Regions from separate parts of the Mus musculus genome. Here region 1 is reported to be linked to region 2. The links are microRNA targets in miRTarBase. Many come from high-throughput screens and were not tested one by one. Region 2 holds a microRNA gene; the other region holds the end of a gene's coding sequence.
What was found. The annotated mature microRNA mmu-miR-874-3p reads CUGCCCUGGCCCGAGGGACCGA and lies in region 2 at 8,942-8,963, opposite strand. An mRNA with a match to its seed (bases 2 to 7 or 8) in the 3' UTR can be bound and repressed. Matches are read on the target gene's strand: a 7mer-m8 pairs with bases 2 to 8, a 7mer-A1 pairs with bases 2 to 7 and ends in A, and an 8mer does both.

Region 1: the mRNA of Arpin is a reported target of mmu-miR-874-3p. Seed matches in the 3' UTR shown: 7mer-m8 at 9,882-9,888.

What each region holds. Positions count from the first base shown.
Region 1 is chr7:79,916,309-79,931,762 of GRCm38, forward strand. It overlaps Arpin (actin-related protein 2/3 complex inhibitor), which reads right to left. Exons shown (of 6, transcript NM_027420.4): 3 at 13,265-13,397; 4 at 11,864-12,070; 5 at 11,318-11,481; 6 at 9,051-10,542. The coding sequence ends at 10,534. It overlaps 5430400D12Rik (a long non-coding RNA gene), which reads left to right and starts at 4,341. Exons shown (of 2, transcript XR_003946805.1): 1 at 4,341-4,631; 2 at 4,741-9,969. It overlaps Ap3s2 (adaptor-related protein complex 3, sigma 2 subunit), which reads right to left and starts at 4,332. Exons shown (of 6, transcript NM_009682.3): 1 at 4,201-4,332. The coding sequence starts at 4,269.
Region 2 is chr13:58,014,194-58,029,647 of GRCm38, forward strand. It overlaps Mir874 (microRNA 874), which reads right to left and starts at 9,007; the gene lies at 8,932-9,007. It overlaps Klhl3 (kelch-like 3), which reads right to left. Exons shown (of 15, transcript NM_001362415.2): 9 at 5,176-5,293; 10 at 4,604-4,801; 11 at 2,253-2,354.

The DNA of each region.
Region 1 (15,454 bases), not on the chromosome of region 2:
GGTCTGACACTCTCACACCAATGCACAATCAATCAATCAATAAAGGAAGGAAGGGGTTCCACATGGGGCACAACTAGAAAAGCTCACGCATAAACATTCAGAAGGCAGAGGGTGACTATGGGAAGCCTTGTTTTCAAGGCTACAGTGATTAATGTGGCCTTATTGACCTAGGTATTTCAGTCACAAGCCTTCATATCTTACAGGCAAGCTCAGAATCAAACAAGGAATCAGAATCCATAATCTCACAAAAATCCTCAATCTTTGTTTTTAATCTGACCCCAACCCTCTGACATCAATACTGGGTATTTAACCACTCTCAAAGTTCCAGAACTGGAAGGTCAAGATGTAATCATGCACAGTCTCAAAGATAACTTTGTCATTTTTACTTTAATACCAGTACTGCATATAAGATGCTGTTTTACTCACAGACAAAGGGTTACTGGGAAAAGAGAAAATGTATTTACAGATCTGAATTTGGGACATCTGAACAAAACTACAAAAAAATACCCCACTTTTCATTTAAGAGTCACTTGTAATCTTGAGAACCCTCAACGGTGAATGAAACACATGATTAATCACATTTGATTTCCACTTGTATGTAAGAGTTTAATACTAGGTATGGCACACTTTTTTTTTTTTTTTTAAGCCATGTATGGTGGCTCACTCCTGCAAGGTTAACTAAGACAGGACGGTCACTAAGTAGGAGGACAGCCTGGTTTATATGGTAAATTGCAGGCCAGCCTGAACCACAGGGTCAGTCCCCATCTCAACAAAATGAAACAAAAGGAGGTGGGGTAGAGAGGAGAGGAGAAAGGAGACTCACTGCACTAGACCATGTGTATAAGCCTAGCACTTAGCCGGAAGAAGGTGAGACCCTGGATAAGGGGGGAAGTCAGGAGTGGTAGTGCTTTAATAATAATACTTGAAGAGGCAGGGGGATGGATCTCTATGAGTTCAATGCCAGCCTGGTCTACACAGTAAGTTCCAGTTCAGCCAGGGATATGGAGTAAGAACCTGTCTCAAAACAAACAGACAGACAGGATAAGGAAGAAACCTAGCAGAAACGAAGTAGTTAAAAATTCTAGATCAGAACCTGGTAATGGTGGTGCATGCCTTTAATCCCAGTGCTTGGGGGACAGAGGCAGGTGGATTTCTGATATTTGGAGGCCAGCCTGGTCTACAGTGAGTTCCAAAACAGCCAGGGCCACAAAGAGAAACCCTGTCTTGGAAAACAAACAAACAACAACAACAACAAAACCTTCTAGATTAGGAACTGGAGAATTGATTCAACCATTAAGAGGATTTGTTGCTCAGGGTTCAATTTCCAGTAGCCAGGTGATGGCTGATAACCATCAATAAACATGGTTACAAGGAATCTAATGCCATCTTCTAACCTCCAAGGGCACCAGGTACACATGTAGTACACACATACATGCAGGCAAAATACTCATACACTTAAAATAAATAAATCTATGAGTAATGTAAGCCCTCTGGTCAGTCTTCTCATGGTGTGATGAGTCGGCTGGGGATGATATTTAAATGCACTTCGGCTTTCCTCTGCCTGGGCAGGGGCCCGAGACTCTTGCTCTATCAGGCTCCCACAAACAGCAGTGCTTCGGGTCTAGGAACTACACTCTGGACTGCATAACTAAGAAAAATGTTCACCTTCAATGTTCCTTAAACCAGAAAAATACATTAAAAAAATTAATCCCTTTCATACTATACCACTGATCTTAGCTTTGAAATGGCCAGTTCTTTAAAAGCTATTAAGAGGGGTGGAGGGGGGCACAAAAAAAAAACAGGGAACTAATCACTGAGAGGAAATGGTTGGCTCAGTGTGCGTTCTGAAAATCTCTCAGTATCTACTGAATGTATGAATGCAAACTTGCCAATCACTGCCCCACAAACTGGAACAAATCAATCACGATCTTCCTGGTTTCCATGTGAACAGCACACCAAGCTCACGTTTGCTAGGCTGTTGTCAAAGATGAACTCTGTGTGCTCAGAAACACAACGCTCACTAAGCATCAGCACGCAAACTGACAAAACATCTTTCCAGCTAAAGCCCTTTATCTACCTACAGGTGGACCTGGCAAACAGTGGGGATGGGATGGTGGTATCAAACAAGGGGGCCAACTTACTACTGGCTCAACAAAAAGGCAAACTGCCCACTGCTTACATGCCCCGGTTACTTTAACAACCCGTCCTGTCTTTTTACTACACTGCAATTCTCAAGGCAGTCTCACTCCAGCAGTTCGTAAACAATTCTGTGATCTATATGATCTATATCAGATCATATATATGATCTATATGATCTATATCAGATGGAGATATACAAATGGCCAATAAGCGCAAGACAGGTTCAGCATCCTTAGTCACTATAGAAACTAGACATCAAAACCATTTCAAAAGGCGATCGATTTTCATCCACTAAAATGCCTTCAATAAAGACAACATGGCTAGGATTATGCAGCTCAGTGGTGGAGGACTGCCTAGAAGGAGGGGTGCTCTCAATTCCCTTCCTAGTTCAGAAGGAGACATGAAGAAATTGCAATACTGATACATTGCTGATAACAATATACAACTAGGAAAACACTTTTCCAGTTCCCCACTTAGTTATTATGTGGCCTAATGATTCTACTACATATGAAGTCAGGAGAAATAAAAAGAAATGTCCATACTAAAACTCAACACATGAATGTTCAGAGCAATTACTGGGAAACACAGATGACCAGCAGAGCACAGTGGTGCATGCCTATAACTCTAGGATGTGGAAGGCTGTGGTAGGATCTCTTTTGGTGGTTGGTTGGTTGGTTGGTTGGGTTTTGGTTTTGCTTGCTTAGGGACAGGGCAGTTGATTGTGAACAGGGTAGTTGATTATTAACAGTAAGTTTCTTTAATAGAGATAAAAATGTTCTCAAATTGTGACAGATGCCACTAAACTGCATACATTAAGTAGCTGTATAGTGATTTTTAGCTCAGTGAAAAACTTAGAAACTAGGAGAAACAAATGCACGTGCAAATTGAAGTTGTAAACCCTGTCTTGAAAAACATAAACAACAAAAAATTGAAGTTGTATTCAGTGTTCTATTTAAAAACGTAGTTGGAAAATCCTATTTTAAAAAGCAAATACTTTTCATTTATGATGAAAAAAGGAATAAAAGACCCAGAGACATTTCTGTTTGTTTGTTTGTTTTTCAAAACAAGGTTTCTCTCTAAAGCCCTGGCTGTCCTGGAACTCACTGTGTAGACCAGGCTAGCCTCGAACTCAGAAATCCACCTGCCTCTGCCTCCCAAGTGCTGGGATTAAAGGTGTGTGCCAGAACCGCCCGGCAAGACATTTCTTAACGTGTACAAAAGGTGGGGCTGAAGCCTGAAAGTCTTCTGATTTTATTCCCTCTCAGACAGAACCAGTCTCTCAGGAGGATATTTTGAAACCTAACCACGAATAAAATATTGGGGTACAGAAGGCAAAGAACGGCATCTGCGTTTCCCCAAAGGAAATGTTTCCAGAAAATTCAAATGTGCACGAACATTGCTGAGGCATTCCATGATGGCATTTGTTTATTTGTTTAATTATATGATTTCTTAAGATGCGGTCTGGTGTAGCTCAAGCTGGCTTAGAACTAGCTGTGTATCTGAGGATAACTTTGAAGTCCTGATCCTCTCGCCTCCATCTCCCGAGTTCTGAGCTTTGAGGTGTGCACCACTACAACTGGCATCTTGTAAAAATAGCTCATTTCCCCCTAATTTTAAAAGAGACTTTCTGCAACCTTACAGGATAAAAAGTATCCCAACCCTGATAAGTGCCAGCCAATGCTGAAGCAAGTGATTCCACGAAAGAACTTCTCTCCATGCCCTTGAGAAAAAATAAACGTAAAAGAACCCAACGACCAGATCATCACAAAACTACGCTCATCAATTTAAAAAACAAAACAAATACAGAAACAAAAAACTAAAGACAGAGGCTGTCACCCAATATCTCAATGCGGCACACTGTGTACTGAGTCTGTCCCTAAGACCCAAGGGAAAGTGTCACAAAACACAGAAAAGCCAAGATCCAGGAAGGATGAGGGAGGAGCAGGGGGGTGGGTCATGCACGGTGCCAGAGCAGGAGATGCTGCTGAGCGCGGCTGCGGGCCGTGGGGAAGGGATGGCTCTGGTGCTCCGCAGGGGCATGGTTGGTGGGGCTGCACTCACAAAACGCTGGTAGAAGCGGACCAGCCGCGGTTTTCCATGGTTGTTGAAAACCAGAATCGCCTGAATCATCTTTGCCGGTCCCGCTTCTCTCGGTACCACCTGCTCCAAGAACGCACCTTCTTCCGGCACAACACGAACACTTCCTGTTGGTGTCCCGCTGAAAGCTGCTCCCGGAAACTTAGTCTCGGTACCCCTGGGCACCGAGCACTAAAGTGTCCTGCCGCTCTGGCACCCTGAGAGGTCGGCGCGCTTTCCTGGGGAGCACGGCTGTAGAAGCCCAGGAGCACGGTCGCCTTGGCCAGCCTGGGAACGAATCCAAGCCTGGCTGGGACTGAGCCCCTCATTCTGGTTCCATCCTGGAGCCAACCGTGTCGGCAGCAAGCATCGAGACTGGCAATTCCTGCCAGCAGCCGCGCCAGTTTGAGGGACCAGTAGGTGTTTGTGTTTCTTCTTCTAACCTTGGACTAGCAAAAGCTAGGCTTTTATGTTGCAGTGAATTAGGCAAAAGTCTGCCAGTCAAACGGTCATTCTCTCCTTTAGATGGTGAAAGTTGACATCATACGGGATCTCTCATCCAATCCCACATAAACGGAACGGTTGGTCTCAAACTGGTAACACCTTTTCTCATTTATTTATTCATTTAGTTATTCGTTTGTTTGTTTATATGTTATCTTTCTTTGAAACGGAGTCTCACTGTGTCGCCCTGCCTGGCTTTGAACTCAGAGATTCGCCTGCCTCTGTGACCCTAAATGCTGGGATTAAAAGCCTGCACCACCACATACATCCCTGGGATTTTAGTAAATAAAAATTCAAATGACTATTGCATTGAAGTGGGACAAAATGATTCAAATGTTGGACGGAAATGTCAAAGACAATTCTAAAACAGAGTAGCAAGAAGGAACCAGCTTTGCCCACCAATCAAACCAAGCAGGATAATTTGAAGTATGTTTTAAAGTTACATTTATATGGATTTTTTTGGAGAGGACCCACGCGCCTGCAACGGTGCATGTGTGGAAATCAGAGGACAATTTGGGGAGTCAGTTCTCTCTTGCTGTGTAAAAGATCTAATGTAAGCCATCAGACTTGGCAGTGCCTTTACCTCACAAGCCTCAAATCATAATTAAAAGGTGAAGTATTATTGAACTATAACACAATAGTCTGTGGTAAACAATTTTAAAGATTTAATTTTAATTATGTTGTATGTGTATATGTCCAAATGTTGCTTCAGGTGCCCTCAGAGACTAGAAGAGGCCACCTTAGAGCTGGAGTTTATAAGCAGCTGAAGTGAATGCTGGGAGCAACTCCAGTCGTTTGGAAGAGATGTAGTCTTTCCAAGCCCTTGGCATGAAATAATTTTAATATATGATGTAGGGGCTATCATAGTTTGGCTGTAGGAAGGAATTCCACAAGTGCTATTGAGATAACTGATTAACACTTTGAAGAAAAAGCAGCTTAGTTTTTTCATACTTTCATATATGTTAGGGCCACAGTGGATTAAAGAGGTAAGGAAAAAACAGAGTAAGGACCTGGGAGATGGCTCCACAGGCAAACTCACTTGCCCTTTAAGCCTGGCAAACTGAATTCAATGCCCAGAACCCAAGAGAGGAGAGAGCTGGCTTCCAAAATTTGTCTCTCATTGCTGTGGCACGTGTGCACTCATGTTCACACACAACATTAATAGCAATAAATGTGTATGATAATGATACAGCTCGAGATGTAGCACAGGTGGCAGAGCGCTTACACAAAACCCTGGATTCTGTCTCCAGCACTATAGCTGGTATGCCAGCACATACCTGCGATACTCAGGAGACAGAGGCAGGAGAAAGGCAAAAGCTAGAAGCCATCCTTCAATGGGAGTAACAAAAGAAAAAGACGCAGGGGCCAGTGAGCTGTCTCAGCAGGTGAAGATGCTTGCTGCCAATCCTGATGACCTGATCTGGATTCCCAGAACCCACATGATCAGAGGGCAAACTTATTGTCCTCTGACCTCCATACACACACACTAATAAATCTAAACAAAAAAAAAAACAAAAAAAAAAACAAAAACCAAACCTTTTTTGTTTAAAGAAGTAGATACAGGAAATGAAAAACATTTAATTTCACTATAAATAGAAGAAAGGGCAAATAAAAGTATATTTAATAATTTTCACTTTATCAAATATTTATTCAAAATCTTCTTCCCCAATTCTGGTCAAAGTAGCATGGCATTGCTTCTCTCCTCCATTGATACTGAGACTGCAGTCTGAAACAATCCTTTTTGGTTTTGGCTTTGTTTTTTTTCTTCGAGACAGGGTTTCTCTGTGTAGCCCTGACTGTCCTGGAACTCACTCTGTAGACCAGGCTGGCCTCGAACTCAGAGATCTGCCTGCTTCTGCCTCCCGAGTGCTGGGATTAAAGGCGTGCACCACCAATAGATGCAAAACAACCCTTTTTGGAAACCATTTGGTAATCTAACAAGATTTTTACAGGTGCCAATTCCCAGTGATCTAACTCCAGAATCTTGTTTCTCAACCATCAAAAATACAGTGAGGAGTCGGCTGGTGGTAAGTGCCTTTGACCCCAGCACTGTGGAAGCCAGCACAGGCAGAGCTCCAGGAATTTGTGATCAAAAGTCCCAAAAAACATGACTATCCCCAATGGAGGAGCTAGAGAAAGTACCCAAGTTGCTGAAGGGGTCTGCATCCCTATAGGAGGAACAACAATATGAACTAACCAGTACCCCCCGGAGCTCGTGTCTCTAGCTGCATATGTATCAGAAGATGGCCTAGTCGGCCATCAGTGGAAAGAGAGGCCCATTGGTCGTGCAAATTTTATATGCCTCAGTACAGGGGAACGCCAGGGCCAAGAAGTGGGAGTGGGTGGGTGGGGGAGCGTGTGGGGGACTTTTGGGATAGCATTGGAAATGTAAATGAAATAAATACCTAATTAAAAAAAAAAAAGAAAAACATGACTATGTGTTTTGACAGTGATGACATAACAATAATGGGAAAAGTAACATCCAAACATTATGTGTTAAAGAGCCAAGATAATAACAATTATTAACAGGACAGAATGAAAATATGGGTCTTTCCCAGCTATTTACGGACCCCACACAGTTTGAGACAAGCCATCTTTCTGTCCTGCGAAGAGGGTTTTGTCTCGGTTTTTCTAACTGCTAAGCCTGAAATCTTTTACTTTTTCTTTGTTTGCATGCGTGCATGATGCCTGCCTGCGTGCGTGCGTGCGTATGTTGGGGTGCCCAGATGCTGCTGTGTGCATGAGTCAGCAAACAACTGATGGAGTTGGCTCCCTCTCCCACCAAGTGAGTTCTGAGGACTGAACTCGGCTTCAGGCTTGGTGGCAAAGCACCTTGACTCACGGAGCTATCTTACCAATGTTTGATGTTCTTTTGTTTGCGTGGTTTTTGGTATTGGGTTTGTGAAGTGGTGGTGGTGGGGTCTCAGTCTGTAGCTCAGTTAGCCTCAAACTGATGGCAACCCTGTCTATACCTCTGCCTCCCAAGCACAGGAATTCTAGGCATGAACTTCCAGCCTGTCTCTGAGATCCTGTTCTTTTCTACAGAACATATGGCTTCCCCTTCCCCCGGAGTCTGATCTCAGCCTGGCCTCAGGCTGGGCTACCGCTAAACAACCTTCTGCAGCCCAGCACTGTGCACACCAGAGTATGAGCATCTTCCTTGACTCCTTCCTCTTTCCTGGGACTTGGTTCTGTTCTCTAAATACCTCTGGGCATGAGCCCTTTTCTCGCTCTCTGTCTCTGTCTTTGCTGCAGACCAGAGCACAGTGATCTCTCACCTGCTACCCTTATGGAGAACCACATCCCCACCACCTTCAAGGGTAAGGCCCCATCAGGACTAGTCTGTAAGCCACCCCAGATACGGGGACACCAACGATGTGACTCTACATCCTCTTGCTCCTATATCCAAAAAACTTTTTTTTCCCGAGACAGGGTTTCTCTGATTAGCTCTGGCTATCCTGGAACTCACTTTGTAGACCAGGCTGGCCTCTGCCTGCCTCTGCCTCCCGAGTGCTGGGATTAAAGGCGTGTGCCACCACGCCTGCCTTCCAAGAACCTTTTGTGGCAGGGGACAAGGAAGAGGCTAAGCTCTGGACTTGAATCCTGGCTTCTCTCCTTAGGAACTGAGAGAGTTAGTTGTCTGACCTGCTTGAACCTCTCTTCCTCCCTTGAACCTCTCTTCCTTCCTTGTGCATGGTTTGCATGTGGAAGCAGAAGTCTGGTGATCAAAAATGTAGACTTTGATCCCAGCATTCAGAAAGCAGAAGTAAGCAGATTTCTGTAGTTCAAGGCCAGCCAGGACTATATACTGAAACCTTCCTTCAAAAAGAAAAAAAAAAAAAATCCCAGCACTCGGGAGGTAGAGGCAGGCAGATTTCTGAGTTCGAGGCCAGCCTGGTCTACAAAGTGAGTTCCAGGATAGCCAGAGCTATACAAAGAAACCCTGTCTCGGAAAAAAAAAAAAAAAAAAAAAAAAGTTTTTTTGGATATAGGAACAAGAGGATGTGGGAGTGGGGGTGTGGACTTTAGGACTGGGGATGTAGCTTCAGTGGCAGGGTGCCTGCCTAGTATACCCAAAGCCCTGAGTGTGAGCCCCAGCACCACATAAACCAGGCATTTGGATGCATGCTTGTAATCCCAGCCCTGGGCAGGTAAAGGCAGGAGTCTCAAAGGTCAAGGTCATCCTCAGCAACACAGCAAGCTCAAGGTCAACCTGTAATGTATGAGCTCTTCCCTCTGAAAAAGGAAATGTAGCCTTTGAAACTGACTGCCTGGATGCAAATTCCTTTCTCTGGCGATATATACAATTCATAGAGCCTCAAAGCCTCAGTCTTATGTATCAAAAATGGGGATATTTATCCTATGTACATCATAGGGTTGTTGTGACAGACTACTCCAAGTACTTAACTTAAGCACTAGCATCAGGAAGAACTCAGTATTGTCAGTACTGGTGACAGAAAGCATCTGTCATTGAGTTTGAACCATGAAGTCGGATCAGTAATCCCTGTCCTCCCTCACCCTTTTTCCCAGGATCAGGCAGGATGCGTACACCTGCCATGGTCACACTCAAGACGTGTAGACTTCCGTTCCAGATCTTGTCACAGGGCTGAGCAGGGGCACACTAAGACTGGGGTTCTCGTCTAGGATTGTGACTCAGCTAGAAGACCATAAACACGAGACAAGAACCCAGTCGTGTGGAGGAATTCTTTCCCGAAGAGTACTCACTCCTAAGAAGTTCTCCAAGTACAAAACAACAAAAAGAGTCATACCAAAAAATACGGTCTGGGACTTGTTGGTGTAGACAGTGGTGGATCACTCACCTAGCAAGCATGGAGCACTAGGTTTAAGTACCAGCACTATTTATTAAAAAGAAAATATTTTAAAAATATAAAAAGTTGGCCCAGTGGAATGAGTCAAGACTTGTGGACCGGCTAGACACAGCTGGGAAGGCTGAAGGCCTTCCCAAAAATGGCATCTTTAGGACAGCAGCCAGATAGGTGTGTGATAACTAGCTTTATGTCAACCTGACAGAAGCTAGAGTACCCCGGCCCAGCCCATTCTAGGTAATGCCATTACTGGGCTGGTGGTCCTGGGTTCTAGAAGAAAGCAAACAGAGCGAGCCAGTTTGCAGCACACCACGCTCTCTGCTCCTGCCTCCAGGTTCCTGCCCTGCTTGAGCTCCTGCTCTCACTGCTTTACTGGTGATGAACTGTTCTACGGATCTGTGAGTGAAATAAACCCTTCCCTCCCCAAGTTGCTTTGGGTCGTCGGGTTTCATTGGAGCAGTAAGAGCCCTAAGACAGAGATCTAAGGCAGGAAAGCCCACAGAGGCACAGAGCTGAATAGAAATAATGAAGTGGTATCTTGGGTGTGGGACAGGGAAGAACAGACAGAGGAAGACTGGGACAGGAGAACAGAGGCACAAAAAGAAGCTGGCACAGGGTAGAAAGCAAAAAAAGGAGAAAACTGCAGGATTGGAAAGAGCCGGCGCTCTTACCCCCTGAGTCCCTCTGGACTCAGACAAGGAGCCTTTGTCAATTGTGTACCTTGGAGGACTCATCTAGTCCATGCCTGCTACCTAGGGAAAGGAATACTGGAGATAGATCTAGGAAAGCTAGCCTTGCATCCAATGAGGGCCACAGACATACAAAAGCCATAGCCTGGAGACCCTTGGTGAGTACTGAGGTCTTGGGTTTGATTTCATCAGAGGGTGTTCAATGATATTCTGCTTGACAGCCTGATCTCTCCAAGGCAGAAGTTGGTGTGGCCACTTCTCAGCGACACCATCCCAGATGCTGGTCTAGTTGAGGAGGCACCTCAGTCATCCTGGAGACAAGACAAAGAGGCCCAGTCAAGGGCTGTGAGTAAGACCGAATTCATAACAGTCTTCTGGCAATCTTCAGGTGAGGGTCTGGGCCTGTGGTATTCAGAGAACCCTCAGCCACTGCCTTGGCCTCACCTCCTCAGAGCTGGCTCCAGAGCCCATCCAGCAACCCCACCACTTGTCAGCCGGGAGCCCAGACCCACCGCACTCACTCCTCTCACCTTTGGTCAATGTCTGAGGTAAATCCCCCATTTTTCTGCAGCTGCTTTGCTCTACCTACTCTATTTGGAGGCTTTAGGTATCAATTCAAACCTTTAGGTGACTACACTTCAGATGAACAACTAAATAAAAGCCGCAAACTAAGTAGGATGCTAACCCTCGGCACAGGAGACATTAGTGTTTCCCAGTTTAGACTAAGGAGGAAAAAAACCATGTGGTTGCTCAAGGGCCAGCCCATGATGAGTGTAGCACTACAAGAGGAATATTTCCAAACTAAAGGAGAGTCCCTGGTTCCTTCTGTAATCTTTTCTTCCCACCCTTGCTTTTATACATCTCTGGGGCTTTGTGTCCGTCCATAGGGCAGGTCAGCTCCTCCAGTAAGAAAAGCCTTAGGTTGTCACCCTCTGTTAATTCCCTGATGCTAACACCCTCTCTGGAAGCACACGGAATTTATCTTGCCTTCTATTCCTTTGCCCTCAACCCTACCCTCTATGTATAAACTCCCACCAGGAGACACAACAGTACCGGGCCAGTTCCACAGCTGCCCCCTTCACCTACCCATTCCTCGTCCTCTGCCCCGTCTCCTTGCTCTCGGATCTCTGCTGTGTTCCTCTCTGAAGACTTCTGGGCCATGATATTGTCTGTCCAGGAAGCTCCCGTCTTTCCATCACCAGCAAAATTACACTTGGTCACTGTCCCCAGCTCCAGTTTGGCTAAGGAATCTGAAAGAAGAGAAATTCAATGGCCTTTCTCCTGGTAGATTAGTCAGCGTACGGCCCTTCATTCTAAGTCCTCTAAGTCTGGGTTGTTCTCTGGTGTGACCACTAAGGTTCTTGGTGGGACTCCCACACCATTAGAGAGTAAGGGTCAGCCACAGGAAGTAAGGAGTTAGATGATACCCTGGGATATAGTGGATCTATATCCAACTGCCCCAGAGCAGTTGGCCACAGATTTGGGAGTAAATCTCAAAATCACAGGTCATGTCCCATGGGAGACCCCACCTGGCCTTCTCCCATTACTCTAAGCAAAAGAAGGGGAGCCTCTGAAAGGTGGCCAGGGGCCCCAGAGGCTATTGGAACAGGCAAAGCGAGTCATACTGCTCACCTATGAAGGGACCATCACCCCGAGTTTTTAATCGCACTCCAGTCCCCAGTTCGAGTTCCATGACCTCCATCTCTGACTCAGGCATCCAGAATGCCACCGCCTGGTCTGGGGTGAGGCTCTCTGTCAATTCCAGCAGCTGGGGCTTGTTTACCAGGCTCTTCAGCGCCTCCAGGGTGAGCCGGTCTGTGTCGCCCTTGGCCTCCACCTCTGTAGAGCATATGGTGCAGGAGGGTTAGTGTTCCCGGAGGAGAAACATTCTCTGAGGATCTTCAGGAGCTGGTGAGGACATCTGTCTTGCTAGGGCTCATCAGAGAATCCCACAGCAGAGGCGTCATTGCCTGGACTCTGGAACCAGGCTACCTGGAGTAAATCTAGATTCTGGCACAATCTAGGACAAGAGATCTTTCTCTTTGTCCTTGGAGAATGAGGATAAAAATGGTGTGCAATACAGATGAAAAAAAGAAAAAGAAAAGAAGAGAAAAAGCAAGCTGAGCATTTAGCACAGTGTCTGGCTTCCAGCCACTCTCAGCAGGGGTCTCTGCTTTCGTTATTCCCATTTCAGTGGTGAGAGAAACCAAGACTTAGCTGGGGCAGCATTCAAACACCCACTGCCTTCCCACTGAGACTCTGTTCTAGATCCAGCAGCCAGCCTGTGGTCAGCACCCTCTACTGGCCTACTCCAGGCTAGCCCTGGCAACTCCCAGGAGCTCAGGGAGGAAGTCAAGTGGTAAGCCTGCAGGTGGTGGGGCTTACCAAGACATAGCCATCCATAAGGTTGCTGAAAGCTTACATGAATACCACTGCGCCCAGCACAGTGTTCCCAGGGCTTGTCTGACTTCCTGCTGTGGAAGTCACATAAACCCTTTCTTCTTTAAAGTTGGTTTGTCAGGCATTTTGTCGTAGCAACAAGAAAAGTAACTAATATGCTTCACAGATAGACTGAGAGCCAAAAAGCAAACATCCAGTAGGAGAACCGAGAGAGACTGCTGGGACCTGGCCTGCTCCCCGCACAGTGATAGTCGGAGCCGGAAGCCAAGCCTGGGAATGATTCTGCCAGACTTCAGGAGATGGAAGCCATTAGGAATGCCAGCCTGCAGCCTGGTCTACAGAGTGAGTTCCAGGACAGCCAGGGCTATACAGAGAAACCCTGTCTCGAAAAACCAAAAAAAAAAAAAAAAAAAAAAAAGGAGGAATGCCAGCCTGGCTCCCAGGGCTAAGATGGGACACTGGGGAATTCTGAGGGCCTCGAGGGAAGAAATCCAACAAGGGATGCTCAAGCCAGAAACATCGTCAAAGCCAAGTTATGCTAAGAATCCACTGTCAAGGACCTCAGGAGACAAACAAGTCAGTCTAACAGCCTCTTGGAAGGCTGTTAGAAAAGGAAGAGCCCAGGATACCTACTGTAAGATGACATGAGGAAGCCTGTGTTCACCTTCCTGGTGGCACTGAAGTTGGGCTCAATTTCATTTCCCTTGGGGTCAAACTTACGCCTGTGGATACAGCTGGGCTGGATATACAGCACATAGTAGCGCTCCTGGATGAGGCAAAGAAAGGGTGAGGGGACTCCTTCACTCCCTACCCAAATCCCAGCATACCCAAAACACATAGCCCAGGCTCTCCCTGCAGCCTCTGCCCATCTCACCCTCGGCTCCAGAATCCCATCCCTGGCGCTACCCTGCTGCATAGGCTGGACAGATGCCTCGTTTAAATACTTGTTCATTTTACCCATCTTTATACTTACTAGAGTCACATAGAGCATGCTACAAAAGCCATAGCAGGACAACAAAAGGCCCGACTCCAAGGCTTCCACACAGCCAATGGCCTGTGACTTTAATCCAAGTACCAAGGTCCCTACAGGCCACAAGGCAGGATTGAAGTTGCCAGCAAGCCTCAGAAAGGCCATGACCTCAAGGAGGGCAGTCACCTTGCTACTCCCACAGACACAGCAGTGGGCAAATCACTCCAAGCTCTGTATGCCTCAGTTTCACCTTTCTTGGAATAGCATGACATGTCCTTTCAGGGACATTACAAGGAACCAGTGACAAAATGGAAGAGGACATGGCTTCTGCCGTATGTATCGTTGAGAGTTAAGGGCACAAGAGACACATTTGGAAAGGGTCTAGGTGAACACCTGCCTGCACCAGGCCAGCTGAGGCAGACCAGCTTGGTACAGCTCTCCTGGGCAGGCTGGGTGGAGACTCCAGATCGCTGTGTCCCCCTACAACTTGCAATCTAAAGAGCAGAGAGTTGTGGCAAGATCTCTGGGCATGAAAACGACCAGCCAGTAGCATGACTACTCTCATGGAGTATAACACAAATGCATATACTGAAGCATGATGGTGCACACCTATAATCCCAGCAGAGGGAGGAGGAGCTCTTAAGGTCAAGGCCAGCCTGCTCTAGAAGTGGTGTTCCAGGACAGCCAGGGCTACATAGAGAAACCCCTGTCTCAGATCTCAGATAGATAGATACATAGATAGATACATATATAGATACATAGATAGATAGACAGACAGATAGATGGATGGATAGATAGATAGATAGATAGATAGATAGATAGATAGATAGATACATAGATAGATAGATACATAGATACATAGATACATAGATACATAGATACATAGATACATAGATAGATAGATACATAGATAGATAGATAGATAGATAGATAGATAGATAGATACATAGATAGATAGATACATAGATAGATACATAGATACATAGATAGATAGATACATAGATAGATAGATAGATAGATAGATAGATAGATAGATAGATAGATACATACATAGATAGATAGATAGATAGATAGATAGATAGATAGATAGATAGATAGATAGATAGATAGATACATAGATAGATAGATACATAGATACATAGATACATAGATAGATAGATACATACATAGATAGATAGATAGATAGATAGATAGATAGATAGATAGATAGATAGATAGATAGATACATAGATAGATAGATAGATAGATAGATAGATAGATAGATAGATAGATACATAGATAGATACATAGATAGATACATAGATAGATACATAGATAGATACATAGATACATAGATACATAGATACATAGACAGACAGACGGACAAGGCTGAATGAAGAATCCGGCCTCAGCCCACCTTGGGAGGGCCTGATGCTAAGCTGAGATTTAGAGACCAAGGACCCAGGAGACAGTGTGGTCAGCGCTAGAAGAGGCTGTCTGAAAGGACCCAGAAGGGATGTGGGCTGGTACAGGTTGACCGCTGTGAGTGCCCATGGACACCTGGACTGTGTGGGCTAGGAACACATCCTGAAGAGGCTGTGAAGCACAGACAGAAGGTTGTACAGGAGCGGCTACCCCGGATGTCAACATGAGCTCTGTATATTCAGGCTAGACTGGGTTTGGGGGCCTGTCTGTCTTTTCAGTCGTAGCAGAGGTTCTTCTTGCAAGAACCATGTAGTCCCTCTCATCTGTCTGCTACCCACTGCAAGGCTCTGTAAGTCCCCCTTTTACCAGTCCTGCTTGGCTGTAGCAATCTGTTCTGTGACCTCAGTAACGGATCTTAACCCAGCACAAGGAGATATCATGTGGGTGAG
Region 2 (15,454 bases):
GAGGCCCAGGTACCCAGCACAGAGCACCCACTTGGCATCAATGGGGTTCGATATAGGCTTGCTTGAGGAGCTAGGTTAAAGCACACCAGCAACGGGAGCTACAAGGCTCTCCACCATGACCACACATCAGGCTTTCTGGACATAGGCTCATACTGACAAGTGAAGAGGATACAGAAGAATATTCTTCCAGCCCCACCCACGCCATAAGGGAAGCGCTCTGTGTGCACCCAGGGCTGAGGCAGCTGGGATTTTTCTGCCGGCCAACTTTGTTCTCTGAGCTGTATACAAGAACCCTGAAGTATTATCAAGTATCCCTCAATAAAAATAAGGCTGACCTCCCGTGGGAGAGCCATTTCCATCTGGGGCTGGGAGCTAGGCGCTAGGTGCAGTAAAGAGAGGGGAATCATTATCTGACCTGTGAGGACAGGGATTCAAATATATGGGGTTTAACATTTAGTCTTAGATACAATAGGAGAGTTCCTATCTGCGGGGACAGGGAAAGAAGCCCTACTTCACCTATGGATATCAGATCTACAGGATATCATGACACCAGCCACAGACCATATTGACACTAGCTGCAGGCTAAATAAGTACAGGGTTTGAATTACTTAATCAAGAATTTTGGGTGAGCCATTAAATGAGTCCCTAACGTGGAGGGTGCAACCAGGATGTGAAAATTCACATTCTCGGGCCCAAAACAGCGCTATACCATCAAGGCTACCAATCCAGAAATCCTATATCATTGAGCTGTGTTTTTCTCCAAGTCTTTTCAGCTGACCTTTCTGAAAAAGGACTCATGCACAGCTCCTCACTCACAAGGTCCAAGCTGACAAACAAAATCCCCCGGGGCCACCTCTCCGTGTGTGCCAGCTCAGGTGGTCCCATCTCTGTGATTCTCTGCTCTGTTGGGCATTTCTGTCTACACTCCAACCCACACCTCACCTTGTCCTTATGAGGGATTCTTCTAAGCTGCAAGTAGCTAATTACCCTGTAATTCTTAAGGGTCATTCAGACTGCATAGCCTCGGTAGTGTGAGGATGTGCCTGGAGAATGGGCTGTGTGGAAAGCTGAGTCCTTAACCACTATGAAGCACAGTCCACTCCAGTGCACCCTGCACATTCTTAGAAACACTTTCTGCCGTCATGAGGCAGCACACAGCCCATAGAGCGTCAGGTGCAGGGTGGGCAAGAGAAACAAACTCCCAGCTTCCCTCTACACCTGCAGGGCAAGCCATTTGCCTGCCCTTCTGTAAGCAGACACACTGACACTGCCCGTGTCACGGGCAAGATTTCCAATCTCTACCATTGAGACACCTCCGCTAACCCTATCAGCCATTCGAATCTTGTATCAGCTGAAGCAAGCAGGCTCTTCCTGAATGTGCATGCTGTTTTTAGCTGCTGGTCTGTTGGCTGCTCCTGGCTGAGGAACGAGAAGGGAAACGAAAAGGGAAACAAGAAGCCAGCTAGACAACGCTCTTGGATGTGGCTGACAAATGAACTTGTATCTCTCCAAGAGGATACAACTTATCCTGATAGGGGGACAGAATCCTGGCCTCTGTGTCAGGACTGAACTCAGAAACTTCTACCTATCAGCAATTGAGACCTGACTCTGGCTCCAGATTAGGAGTCATAAGACCTTGAGGACTTCTCTGCTATTTACTATCATAAGACAAGGACTCGGTTTCCCACTGAGAAAAATCGGAGTCCTGCCTGTGTTCTTCCAGATGGCTTGAAAGAATGAGTAAAAGAAAAAAGATGTTTTACGAACTTCAGGGAACGCCCTCCTGCCTTAGCCACAACCCCATACTTAGCCTATCTGGGGACATGTCAGACCTGAGAAAAAGAAGCCCGCATTTCTCACATCCCTGCTAGCATGCAACACATAATAATTATGCAAGCATAATTTGTACCCCTCCCTGCTACAGTGTACCCCAGTTTGTATGTTGATTCTGAGCTTCCAACATCCTTCCCATCCCCCACTGTTAGCAGAGATACAAGGGACAGGCTGTCACTTTCCCCCAAGTGTCCTCTTTCTCCCCCAACCTGCTGACCCCCTTCGTAGCCTTGGCTCAGGAGTTTCCCCACCCAGTCTCAGCCCTCCTAGTCTGTTTACTAGAGACAATGAACTTAACTCTGGTCAGTGACCTTAAGAGTGGAGCCCACAGTAGAGGGGGCATCAAGCACAATACTGGACTCAGGACAAGACCCACGGGCTAGGGTAGGAGCAGCCACCACCCTCTGCTACCTCCTTACCCTCCACAACACCCACTCCCACGCTGCTCCGCCGTGTGTTCATAGGGGCCACGAAGAACCACTCATTGGTCTTGTAGCTGTAGGCTTCTACGGATGCCAGGCCTGGGGAGAAGAGAATGGTGGGATTTCTACAGCCATGGGCCTCGCTATGACGTGTGAGGAATGCTGAGACCAGGAAGAGATGAGGGCAGGTCTACAGACTCCATATCTAGCTTGGTACACCTCTGCCTAGTGTGTGGCCATGGTAACTCCTCAATCTGCACAAGGTGACCACTGACTACCAATGGTTCTGTGACATACAAGGGAGCTGGTAAGAAAGCTAGGGGTATGCCCTAACTGTACTATAGATACGAGCCATTAAACTTACAGAATGGGACATTTGATCCCAAATAAACGCCCCATGATGCCCCTACTGGGCACCAGTCCCAACCCCCTTCCCGTGTCTTCCTCTATTTTACAAGCTAGATGGCTAAAAATGTACCTCCCAAGATCCCATGCAGGTAGGTGACCCTGAGCCCTAGGCAGAATTCTGACGAAGATTTCTGGGGTTCCCTTGGCATTTCTGATGCAGGGGTGACCTCTTTCCGCTTCTTGCTACTAGAGACACAAGCACCCTGGCTGGAGTCAAAGCAAACTATATTGTGATCATGGGAGAAGCCCTGAGGATCTTAAGGTACTCTGCCCCAGTATCTGTGTGCAGTCAGACCAATTGGGAACAGTGACCCCTGAATTCCATGCTTCGTCTCTGGAGTAATACAGCAGTCAGCCAGGCTTTCCCCTCTGCCGAAGAAGTTCCACTGCAATAACCATCTATGCCCTTCTTAGCTTATGCTCACTGAGGAGCTGTCAGAGAGACGTTCAATAAAGAAAAACAAAACAAACAACACTGCATTTATCTCCCTCAGAGACAGAGACTACTGCTGTAGATGGAGTCACTGTCTTCGATAAACTGCCTGGCTCAGTATCCTGTCTGGTGACGTAAGCACAGATGTCCTCTCTCCAAACTCACACCCACTAACACTTCAAATTGAAATGTTTACAATTGTTTCTTATGTGTGTGAGTGTTTGGCCTGCATGTATGTCTGTGCACTCCATGAGTGCAGTGTCTGTGGAGGCCAGAAGAGGTCATCGGATACCCTGCAACTGGAGTTACAGATGCTTGTAAGCTGCCACACGGATGCTTAGAAATGAATCTGGGTGGCACATGCCTGTAATCCCAGCACTTGGGAGGCAGAGGCAGGCGGATTTCTGAGTCCCAGGCCAGCCTGGTCTACAGAGCAAGTTCCAGGACAACCAGGGCTATACAGAGAAACCCTGTCTCGGAAAGCAGAAGGAAAGAGAGAGAGAGAGAGAGAGAGAGAGAGAGAGAGAGAGGAAGGGAGGGAGGGAAAGAAGGAAGGAAGGAAGGAAGGAAGGAAGGAAGGAAGGAAGGAAGGAAGGAAGGAAGGAACCTGGGACCTGCGGAAGAGCAACCGATGCGTGCATTCGTTCTCTCTCTCTCTCTCTCTCTCTCTCTCTCTCTCTCCAGGTCCCAGGTTGAAAATTTTGAAGTGAGATAAAATGCGGGGGTGAGGGGCCCCTGAGCAGTGATATAGCCTGCAGGGCTCTATGGGACAATAGAAAAATTGATGGCCAATCGGGGTGCAGTGCCTGCTCTGAGCCAAGCACCTTAGGCCCCAATCTTAAGGTCCCTCAGCTGCTCTGTAAAATGTTCAGACTAGAATCCTGAGGCAGATCCCATCAGGGCAAACCCCTTCCTCTACATGATGCTCTGAGGAAACAGGCTAAGTGTGGGGAGATAAGGAAGGGACCCTTCTGCGTGCGGGGGCCTCCTCAGGATGTATTGTGTCACAGAGTAGCTATGGCTACAGAAGTCTTGTTTCCACCGACAGAACTGCGTAACTGAGGAGGAAAGCACTTAGGAGTCTGGTTCCTGAGTGCCCTGGAGATCCACATTTACACTGGAGGCTTGTTCTCGAGTAGTGGCGCTGGGAACTGGCGGGACCTTTGGGAGAGGATCCTTAGCACTGGAGGTGACCTTTAAGATCTCAGTCTCTCCCCTTCCTCCTGCTTCCTGGCTAATGAAGAGAGCAGTTTCACGTGGCCACACTGCACCATGATGAAAGATCTCACCACAGGTCCACACGGGCTATGGACTGAAACCTGCACAGTGGTGAGCCACGGGATACCTTTTCTGTGTGAGCATCTTGTGTCGGGGAAGGAGAGCTCACTAGATCTGACAGGTTCATTCCCGGGGCATCGCTACAAGGCACAGAGACGAGCCCAAGAGCTGACCGAGCAAAGCAAGGTTGCCCAGAGAATAAGGAATGGCAACGTGGTCCTGGACCTACCGGTACTGCCGTCGAAGCCTCCGACTGCGTAGAGAAGGTCATTGAGCACGGCCGCACCCAGGGTGCTCCGGCGCTCCTGCATGCTGGCAATGGACGTCCACTGGTCCTTCACTCCATCGTACACATCCACTGTCCGGACCCGCAGAGAGCCGTTAAAGCCACCCACGGCATACACGTGGCCTGCCATGAACACCACACCTGTGATGCAGGAACACAGGGCATGAGAGTCGGGGATGGGGATGACTGCCCAACCTGATGGGTGACAAGGTAGGCTTATGACAGCCTCCTGGGGAGGCTACCACCAGCTCGAGACACCTGAGAGTGATTACGGGACTCAGCTCTCCCGTATTTGTCTAATATCACCTGACTTGTGCAAAGTCCAGAATCAGCTTAAACTCATAAGCACATAAGAACTGACTTCAAAGCAAGTAGCCCCACAGTGCAGGTAGGAAGGGGGTCTGCAGTGATAAGGAGCAAGGCTTCATGGCTGTCACGGCCATCATGAGGCAGACATCAGCTGAGGAAGAGCTGCTGGGAACCCAGGTGAGTCAGGGCTGGCCAGGGCCGCTTACCTGCTCTGCATCTTCTGGAGGGAAGCTCGGCTATCTGGTCCCAGCGGCCCTCCTCGAAGTCATAGCACTCCACGCTGCGGATCGCCTTGGGTGCCTGGCCACCAACCACAATCATGACCTCAGGAAAGACAAGTGCATGGTAACTAACACGCACGGGAACGGATAGCCAACCCGTGGCCCTTCCATGGGCTGCCTGCTAGCTTGTGGTGCTAAAGACAGGAAAAGGAAGCCTGTGACGGTTTATATAGGCTCGCCCCAGGGAATGGCACTATTAGGAGGTGTGGCCTTGTTGGAGTAGGTGTGTCACTGTGAGCATGGGCTTTAAGACCCTCACCCTAGCTGCCTGGAAGCCAGTATTCTGCTAGCAGCCTTCAGATGAAGATGTAGAACACTCAGCTCCTCCTGAACCATGCCTGCCTGGATGCTGCCATGTTCCTGCCTTGATGATAATGGACTGAACCTCTGAACCTGTAAACCAGCTCCAATTAAATGTTGTCCTTTATAAGAGTTGCTTTGGTCATGGTGTCTGTTCACGGCAGTAAAACCCTAACTAAGACAAAGCCCTAGTCACTGGTGGCGGGGGGGGGGGGGGGGGGAGGTGTGCATATTCAAGGAAAGCCTGCATGTCAACATGTCAAGTACAGAACAAGTATAGGCACACGTCTTCCGAATACCCTCACTTGGGATCCCGTGATACTAAAAGCATCTTCTGTCAGCTCAGTACCCACAAGATGGGGGGGGGGGGGCACAATTTTTATACTGAGGCAAACAAACCTATGTGAGGTGGAAAGCACAGATTTTTGGATACATTTTTAGAATAATATGATGGCACATAAGTATTTCTAAGTATCAGGACTGCAGAGGGCACCTATCATCATCTATGGTAAAGAAAAAATAATTTCTAAACACTCTGGTGGTTTTGGTGGCTATTTGAGTTACTTAACTGACAGTGTTCTGGGAAAAAAATGGTACATAAAGTGTGTGTGTGCGTGTGTGTGTGTGTGTGTATGTGTGTGTGTGTGTGTGTGTGTGTGTGTGTGTGTGTGTGTGTGTGTTTCTCTCCTACAAGTAAGACTGTGGCTGACACAGCCAGGCATGCGAGGTGGGTTGTCATTCACTTGTCACTGTGACTGACAGACGAGGAGTATAAGGACCAGAAACCACAAGTAAACGGCCAGAGGTTACTCAGCAAAGCGAGGCAGCGCAGACAGGGAACCCAAGCCCCCTGACATAGACTGTGAGGCTGCCCGGCTCTCTTCCTGTTCTAGACAGGAACTGCAACAATAGCGCCCCTGCAGGGTAGGCTTCATCAGGGAGTCATGTCACCGACTAGATGGGTTGTGACCAGGACACATCAAATTGAACAGCACAGGGAATACACGGTCTGAGTGTTATTTTGTGAAATAGCTGTCCTGGTTAAACACACTTATATGTATATTTTGGAGAGCAGTCAGTTCGTGTGTATTTCTTGCCACTGGGCGTGGCCAAATCAGAGCAAAGCCATTTTTCTGGCTGTGTTAATGAACAGTCTTACTTACTTGTGGCATCTGTGCCCTCAGAACTATCCTATATGCTATTGATAAAAAAAAAAAAAAAAAGAACCAAGGTTCCAAAGAAAACAACAGTCTGCATATTTAGATAAACTTGGGCAAACTCTCACTGCCCCTGTTGGTATCCCTTCCTGGCATTCCAACACCCTTCTTAAGAGGCAGTGTGAAGTGTGAAGGTCCTGGTTAGCCAGCGTAAGCCACGGGGTTGAGCATCATCCAAAGCCTGCCTTATCCACCCCGCAGTCCTTAAACTTCAGGGTTGCAAAAACACAAACCACTGGGCCCCACCTCAAGTTTCCTTCGATTCAGCAGCTCGGCTGAGAATCTAACACACCCCTAACACACAGTCCCGGGAGATGCCAGGGCTCTGCGTCTGCATCAGTGGACACCAAGAAGCGTATCTTCATCCTCTGGCCTGTAGGGATTTCTTGATGGTACGCCATGAACAATTTCTGCTGTGCTGAATTGTCACATTGCTTTCTACTTCATCACTACATGTCACGCAAGAGAGGAGGGGTCATCTATGCCGTGTGCTGGTGGGAGCTCAAACCTCAGGAGAAGAGAAGCCCAAACTGGCAACCATACACAAGATCAACTGTGATGCCAGACTCCCCCACTGCCCATATCGCTGGCTACTGGTTCTTTAGAATTGGTCCACAGTGTCTGTGATCCAAATGCAGGTCACAAAGTCTTCAAAGCTCAGAGGCTTTTCTGGCCTCTAATCTTTTCCAAAGCAAACCAAGACATACAGGCCTGACCTCCCTACAGTGCTCCCAGACTACAGGCCTGGCCTTGATGCAGTGCTCCCAGATCACAGGCCTGACCTCCCTACAGTGCTCCCAGATGACAGTCCTGGCCTCAATGCAGTGCTCCCAGATCACAGGTCTGGCCTCGATGCAGTGCTCCTAGACCACAGGCCTGGCCTCACTGTAGTGCTCCCAGACCACAGATCTGGCCTTGCTGCAGTGCTCCCAAGACCAAGTCTTCATGTGCCTTTCCTGCATGTCTCAGCTCAGAGCCCTTGGTCTGAGTCAGCAGAATCATTCTTGAAGAAAAGTCAGGTTGCATGTTTCCTCCCACCACATCTTGTTTAAATGGCAGCCACGGACATATCCATTGAGTGAGGGGTAGGGGCCATTAATGAGTTCAGCTTCCTGGCAAACTTCAGAGATGTTCCAGCTCCCTCCTCCAGGCTAGCGATACAGAAGTAGTTCTCAACCTGTGTATGGTGACCCCTCGGGTGGTCAAAGGACCCTTTCACAGGGGTCGCCTAAGACCACTGGAAAACACAGAATCCTACATACATTATAATTCAGAACAGGAGCAAAACTACAGTTATTAAGTAGCCACAAAAATAATTGCATAGTTAGAGGACACCACAACATGAGAAACTGTGTTAAAGGGTCTCAGCATTGGGAAGGTTGAGAACGACTGCTTGAAAGCTTCCCAATGTGTCCACAACCTCCATAAAACTTGCATTAAGTGTTTCACTGTCATTTGGGCTAGCCCCAAACTCTTAGACTCGAGGAATCCTCCTGCCTCAGCCTGGTGAAACTACAGACACATGCCATCCCATCATGCCCAGCAACAATGATTAATTCGCTGAGGTGACCCTGGGTAAGGCTAGGTATGCAGAGGTCTAAAGGAAGAGAAGAGCTGGTTCTGGAATAACAATAAAACTAGTTGCCTGTCACATAATCCTCCTAAAAAATACAATGTACTTGAGAGTCTTACAGGTGCCCTGGCGGCCTGATCCCAGGTCTCAGCTGTTGCTGTGTTAGGGGACTGCAGTTCTGCTTGCTGGAGATTTCTGGTTGCCTGAGTACAGGCAAACTGAACTCCACCTTGACAGGATGGTCATTAGCACCTCCCAAGGAGAACACTGTCACTATGGAAAGTCAAACGGCCATTTATCTTGGTGAGGCTGCTGCCTGGTTCTTAAAACGGCAACTGCTTGCTGAGTGAGTTTGCACGCACACATTCAACACTCTTTCGCTGTCCACTACTCTGCTTCCGGGAGAACGACTGTGAGAATAAACACGCCGGAGCAGATGGTAAACGTGTGTGGATCGAGACTCTAACCCTGGCCACAGGGGATGTCCAGTCAGGTCTGAGGGCTGCCCGGGCTATGCACACTCTCTTCAAGGGGCAAGAGTGGAGTGTGTCCAAACTCTCTTCCATGACAGGTGAGCTGGGCAGAAAGCAGGCCCAGCCAGTCGGTCCCTCGGGCCAGGGCAGGAAGTGAGTCTCTCTTACCCTGGTGCGTGGGGCCGCAGGGCTAACACCAAAAAATTCATCCGAAGGAAGTGTGTCCAGTAGAGTAGAAGACTGGTCCACGCAGGCTCCTAAGCAACAGGTGCCCCTTGCAGGAGCTGATGGCAAGAAACAATTGGGGGTGGGGCGGGGATGGGGGCGGAGCATGTGTCAACCAGAAAGCAGGAAGGCAAAGTTCAAAGAGAGACTAAAGGGTTGGAAAGACAATGGACACTGGGGTCAGACACATCTGGGCTCAGCCACAAGCCCATTACTAGGCAGCTGTTGAGCACAGGCATTACTAGTCAGCTGCTGAGCACAGGCATTACTAGCCAGTTGTTGAGCAGGCATTACTAGTCAGCTGTCTTGAACCCAGGCATTACTAGACAGCTGCTGAGCACAGGCAAGATTTCCAACCTCCATAGGCCTCACTTTCAGCACCTGCATTATCTGAAAACCAGGACCTTTCTCACACGGTTTCTGTAGGCTGGCATGGTACGGTGCACTTGCTACCAGGCTTGGCAAACCACAAGCGGAGTCATTAGGTAGGTACTGGGTGCCATTATAGATGCTCGAGTGGTTTGCTAAAAGAGACTATTGGGAATGTAGAAGAGAAATATATGTGAGCCTTGAATGAGAGTGAGGAGTAAGAAGCCCAGGGGCCACGGTGAGGGTCATCAGGGTCCTAGAGTGTTTGGTGGGGCGTGGAATGAGATGGAAGAGAGGCGGTGCCAATCAAGGGGCTTGGGCCAGGTGTGAGGTCACCCTGTCTACCTGCCTGCCTGCAGCCTTAGCCTCCAACAGTTTTATCTAAAAACAGGACAGTCCCAATCAGGAGCAGGCTGCCATGCCCTGCATATGCCCATCCTAAACGGCTTTTTGTATCATTTCTGAGGGGGTGGACAAAGGTGCCCACTGAGCTGGAATCACAGGAAAACACTGTGCTCAGAACATTCCTGACGGTCTCCTTTACTCCTCCTGGAACCTGATTTTGTTTTTCTTGCTGCCATCTGTGGATCCGGGCAATGCAGGCAGGCAGGCTCTGAGACTGAGAGGCAGCCTCTGGTTGTCCATAGCAACCCAGCCTCAGGGGGCATGCTGGGTGCCAAAGGTGTGGGAGCCAAGATGGTATTAGCTGTTTCTGCTGGAGTGTATCAGGATGAGCTGCCTGTCCCCAGCTCGGGAACACATTCCTGTCACCCTCTGAGGCTATCTCAAGGAAGTCTGCCTCTCTGTTTCAGGGAAAGGACTTTGCTAGCAGACAGTCACCACTGCTGAGAAATGCTGAGACCGCGCTAATCTCTCTCCCCTCCCTCCAATTCTCCAAATTGGGTGCATCAAAAAGCCTGTCTGGGCTGAAACTGTGACAGCTCAAACCAGTCTGCCCTTGGAATTCCCCGCCTGTTCCTCCGTGTAACCCACAGGCCTCTGCGTCCTTCCTTGGCCATCCGCAGAGAGATTTCCTAGGAGTCAGGGCTCAGGTGCCTTCCCACAGAGGACTGAGATAAAAGGCTTCTGTGTCATTTGGAGGCCATGCCATAGAAGAGTTTGGAGCTCGCCTCACCTACAGCCTAAATCTTGGCCTAACCACCCTCTGGCTGCACTTCAAAGACAGGGCAGACACCTGATCCTCCAACTCAGGCTCCAAATTAATTCCTCACCCTATATGTGTGTGCTACCTTGGTGATTGTGTCTATCAAAGAGAACAGCAAAGGTGATGAGGTGGATGTCCTGTGATGAGGTCACAGCAAGGCTCTGCCTTGAGTGTGCCCCTCGCTTTCATGCATTAGAGTCCCTCACTGGAGAAGCAAGCGACCTTGCACAGGGGAAAAACTGAAGACTGCCAGCAACCATGGGAATGAGGTTTTCCCTAGATGAGCCTTCGGGTGGCTGACACACTGACCACCAGCTCGGCTTTGTGGGAAGCCAGAGCTGGCACAGTCCAGCTAAGCCACCCTGGGGCACCCACCCTCAGAAACTTCAGGACACTCAATGTTTGTTGTGTTGAGCCAGGAAGGTTAAGGTAACTCGGACTATGGAAACAGACGATGGCAAGTAGGCAGCATGCACCTATCTTCAAAACCGGGTGATTTTAACTGTGAAAGCTCTCTGAGGGAATAACTGTAGGGAACTTAGCACACTGCTAGGTAACTGAGATCCGGGACTGTCATCACCATGGCGACTATCATGCCTTGCATAGCCATGGACCAGCTGGAAAGCCCTAGGTGAGTCCCTGAACCCTAGTGCATCCCAGGGTTCTCCACCAGCAGAGCTTCCTGACCCACGAAGACAGCGCATGTTTAATGCTCAGCATAAAACGCTGAGAGGCTGCCTAGCAACTGCTATGTAAGCAATATCCCGTGATACTGTGGACGCTTCTGGTGACAAGGACAGAGGTGGAGAAGAAGCAAGATCACCCTGAGCTGCCATCAGAGGGTGGGACCGGGTACCCAGTGGGGAGCTCCTCAGACAGCCTGCATGTACCTAAGTGCTCCAGCCAGCAGAAAGCTTCTCCTCTTCTCCTCCACAGAGCAAGGGCATCTTTGGCATTCCCTCGTTATGACCCTTATATCATGGGAACTGCCCGGTACGTCTGATTCCCCTCCCTTCGTTTGCAGTCTCTTGAAGAATGGATGGTTCCAAGTCTTCGCCTGTCTACACCTACCCCAGTGCTGGGCAACTGTTGGTTGAGCTGGATGAGTTCCTAGGTGACTGGGTACAGCCAAGTGCAGGTGGCAGCTGAGATTTGTCTATTTAATCCAAGTGTCTTGTGGTCTCCCAGGAGTGGTGACTAGGTTCACTCGGCGTTGTGTGGTTTTGCGGGCTGAACTGAACATTCTATAAAGCAGGGTGCCCGTCCTTGCTACATCCATGCAAAATCACACGCGTGGCTACTGAAGGCAGCAGGGAACAAACAGGAGGTGAGCAGTCAGTCAGCACTGGGTCCAGGATGGTTATTTCTTCTTCTAAAATATCAATCGTTCATGAGAGTGCTGCTATCAGACCGCCCCAAGCCAGGACCCAGGCTGTATGCCAAGGACACCAGCAGATAATGCCTGCCTCCCACAGCACATAGCTCAGGGTGGAAGTGTATACTGCAGAAGAGAACCCTCAATAGTTGTCAAAGCCTCAAGCTGCGTGTACATGTTGCTCCGGAAACCACCAACTCCGGTTCTTCCCAGATCCAAATAACTTCCCTTCCCTTCACCAAATAACCTTCCCCAGCAATCACAGTTCCACAGATGAGCAATAATCTAGTAAAGATCAGGCTTTAGGAAGAAACCATTGTGGTGTGAACGGTCAGCACCAATTTTCCCATAAGTCGATGGCAGTGCACTTGCGTGAGCCCCTAGAATCAATTCCTAGTGCTGCCCACGGAAAAACAACATTGATAATTGTATCGAAATCAAGAACACCCATCAATAAATCTGACAGCGAACAGTCGAAAGTCATACATGGACAAGATAAAACATCGCTGAGAGAAGTCACTGGGCCAAATAAACAGGAGCAGACTGAGGCCAACCATCAGATAACTCCTCCCCCGCCCCAATCCCCACTGACCTAGAGATGGAATCCAACCCCGATGACTCCTGCAGCTTTTCTTGCAGAAATAATGAGCGGACTCTGAAGTTAGCAAAACCATGCCCAAGAATAGAACAGTCAGGAATACCTCAGACTTGAAGCCAGTGAGCAAGGTAGCCTAGTGCTTGCATGAGGCAGACAGACGAGCCAAGACACGGAGTAGAAGCCAGGGACAGACCAGGGGGCACAGACTCAATGACTTACAGTAGGGCAAGGACTAAGAAGGGGTGGGCCCTTTCAACATGTGGTATGCTATAACCAGATATTCGGATAAAGAATAAATCAGTTATATGACCCTTACTTCATATAACATATTTTGAAAATATTCTGAAAATGATCCATAGACTTTAAATCTTCAAACTTACAGGGAAAAGTATAAGTTAAGTGAAGGGTGGGTTGGGTTTTTTTTTTTTTTTCAGTTTAAACTCAAAATAAATCACAACAGAAAAAAAAATTGAAACTGTCAGGCGTGGGCATCTGCTCTTCCAAGCGCCGATACTTGGGAAGACAGTATGGCGGCTCCTCAGAAAGTTAAAAATAGTCTGACACATGAGCCAGCAATCCCACTACCACATACATATCCCAAGTCCATGAAATCAGTATGTCAGAAGGCGCCATCGCTACAGTCTCGTCCATGAAGGCTGAGCTACAGCCTCAGCCTTTGTCTATGATGACAGGACAGAGAAGCCACCACACAGCACAGTGGGATATTATTCGTCCTGAAAAAAGGAAGGAAATCTTGTCATTTGCAACACATTTGAAGGGAGAGGGCTTAACACTAAAGAAATAACCCAGGCACAGGAAGACAGCTCTCATCTGCATGCAGACTCTAAAACAGGTAAACACGGAGACAGGCAGGACAGTAGTTACAACGGAGAGTGAGGAAGGGATGATAGCCAGGGAGCCATTAATTAAAAGATACACAGTTTCCCGTGCATGCAGAAAGGCTAATTCAAGAGCTCTGCTCCACAGCATAGTGACCACAGTTGATAAAATGCTACATTGTTGAAAATCATTAAGAGTAAAATGTAAATGTTCTGGCTATAAAAATAAGTAAATAAATAAATTAATTAATTAATTAAATGGATGTGGCCAAACCATATGTTGGATTGCTCGGTTTTGCTGCTCTATAATATATAATACTTCAGAATATTTGAAATCATAATGTACATGATAGACATATACCAGTTTTCTTGTCAGTTGAAGTCACTGATTTTTATAAGTGCTGCTCTTCCAAAGATGCTACTGAGAAGACCAAAATTTAAGCAGGAATCGGAAGAGAATTTCATAAACAGCTGAGAAGGAAAACCGCAAACTAAAAAACTATGCACACACAAAGACCTGAGCCCTTCAATACAGAAAAGGCCCTTAAAAAACTGCTGTTAAGAACACACATTCCACCAGAGGCAGGGACAGAGGGCATAAGCAGAGCATCGCCACCAAAAGAAGTATGAATAACGACATGAAAGCAAGATCAATATCATTCAAGATTAAAGAGACACAAATGAAGATATGTCATTTAATAAAGAGTACTTGACACAGATATACTCACACTACAAAAACAGAATTATTCCAGAGACCATCAACAGTGGATCGTGAAGTGGGCATGGTACAGACATACTGCAAAGCCCCCAGACCCATCACTGCGCCAATGCTGACTTGCTCCGTACCCTCCATTTGTAGCGCTTGCTTTAGTGGGGGCAAAGAGACATGGTTCAGCCTTCACAGAAGATCCCACATACAGGAAAAGGTGCATCTTCAGATATCCCCGAATAAATGTGCAGAGATACTGCTGAAAGGAAAACTCGCCAAGGCAGCTCCGGGTGACTGTTACTTCTAAACTGCAGTGTGGTTTTGTAATATGCAATATACTTATATTTCTACAATTAAAGAAATATAAATTTCTTCACTTTCAAATGAAGGGTGAGAATAGGCCAGCAAGATGGCTCAGTGGGTAAAGGCACTTGCCACCAAGTTTTAACAACTGGAGTTCAGTCCCAGGCTCCCACAGCATGGAAGAAGAGAATGGACTCCCACAAGTGGTTCACGCACACGTACATGCACATGCACGCGCGCACACACACACATGCACACACACACACACACACACATGCACACATACACACACAAACACACACAAAGAGAGGCAGACAGACAGACAGAGGCAGAGAGAGACACAGACACAGAGACACACGGAGAGAAATGTAATAAAATATTTAAAAGTCTCATCTTAATGTTTCAACAAAAACAAAAGACACTGAAGGACTGTAAGGCAAATGGCCAGAGAGAACCAGTCCCTTTTGTACCCTCCCCTAAGAGGATGTGGTGATAAGAGCAGCCATCAAGCGCACATTCGGGTTTGCACAGGACTAGGTGCAATTTGAAGAACAGGTTCCATCTGGTTCCCACCATTGTGGGCACTGGCTATGCTGACACTCGGGCAAGTCACTGAACCGTGAGCCTCAGTTTCCTTCGTAGAACTAAGGCTTGTAAGCACCGGTGTTTGGGTAAAACACACCTACGATGGCTAGTTTACGTCAACCTGACACATCTGGAGTCATCTGAGAGGAGGAAACCTCAGCTGAGAAGATGGCCCCACAAGACTGGGCTGCGGGCAAGCCTGTAGAGCATTTTCTTCATCAGTGATTGGTGGGGGAGGACTCGGTTCTGGCTGGCTGGAGCCTCCCCTGGGCTGCTGGTCCTGGGTTCTATAAGAAGCAGGCTGAGCTCCTCCATGAGGAGGAAGCCAGTAAGCAGCACCCCACCGTGGCCTCTGCATCAGCTCCTGCTCCAGGTTCCTGCCCTGCTTGGGTTCGCGTCCTGACTTCCCTCAGTGATGAAGCCAGATAAACCCTCTCCTCCCCCATGTTGTAGCTGACCACAGTGCGTCATCC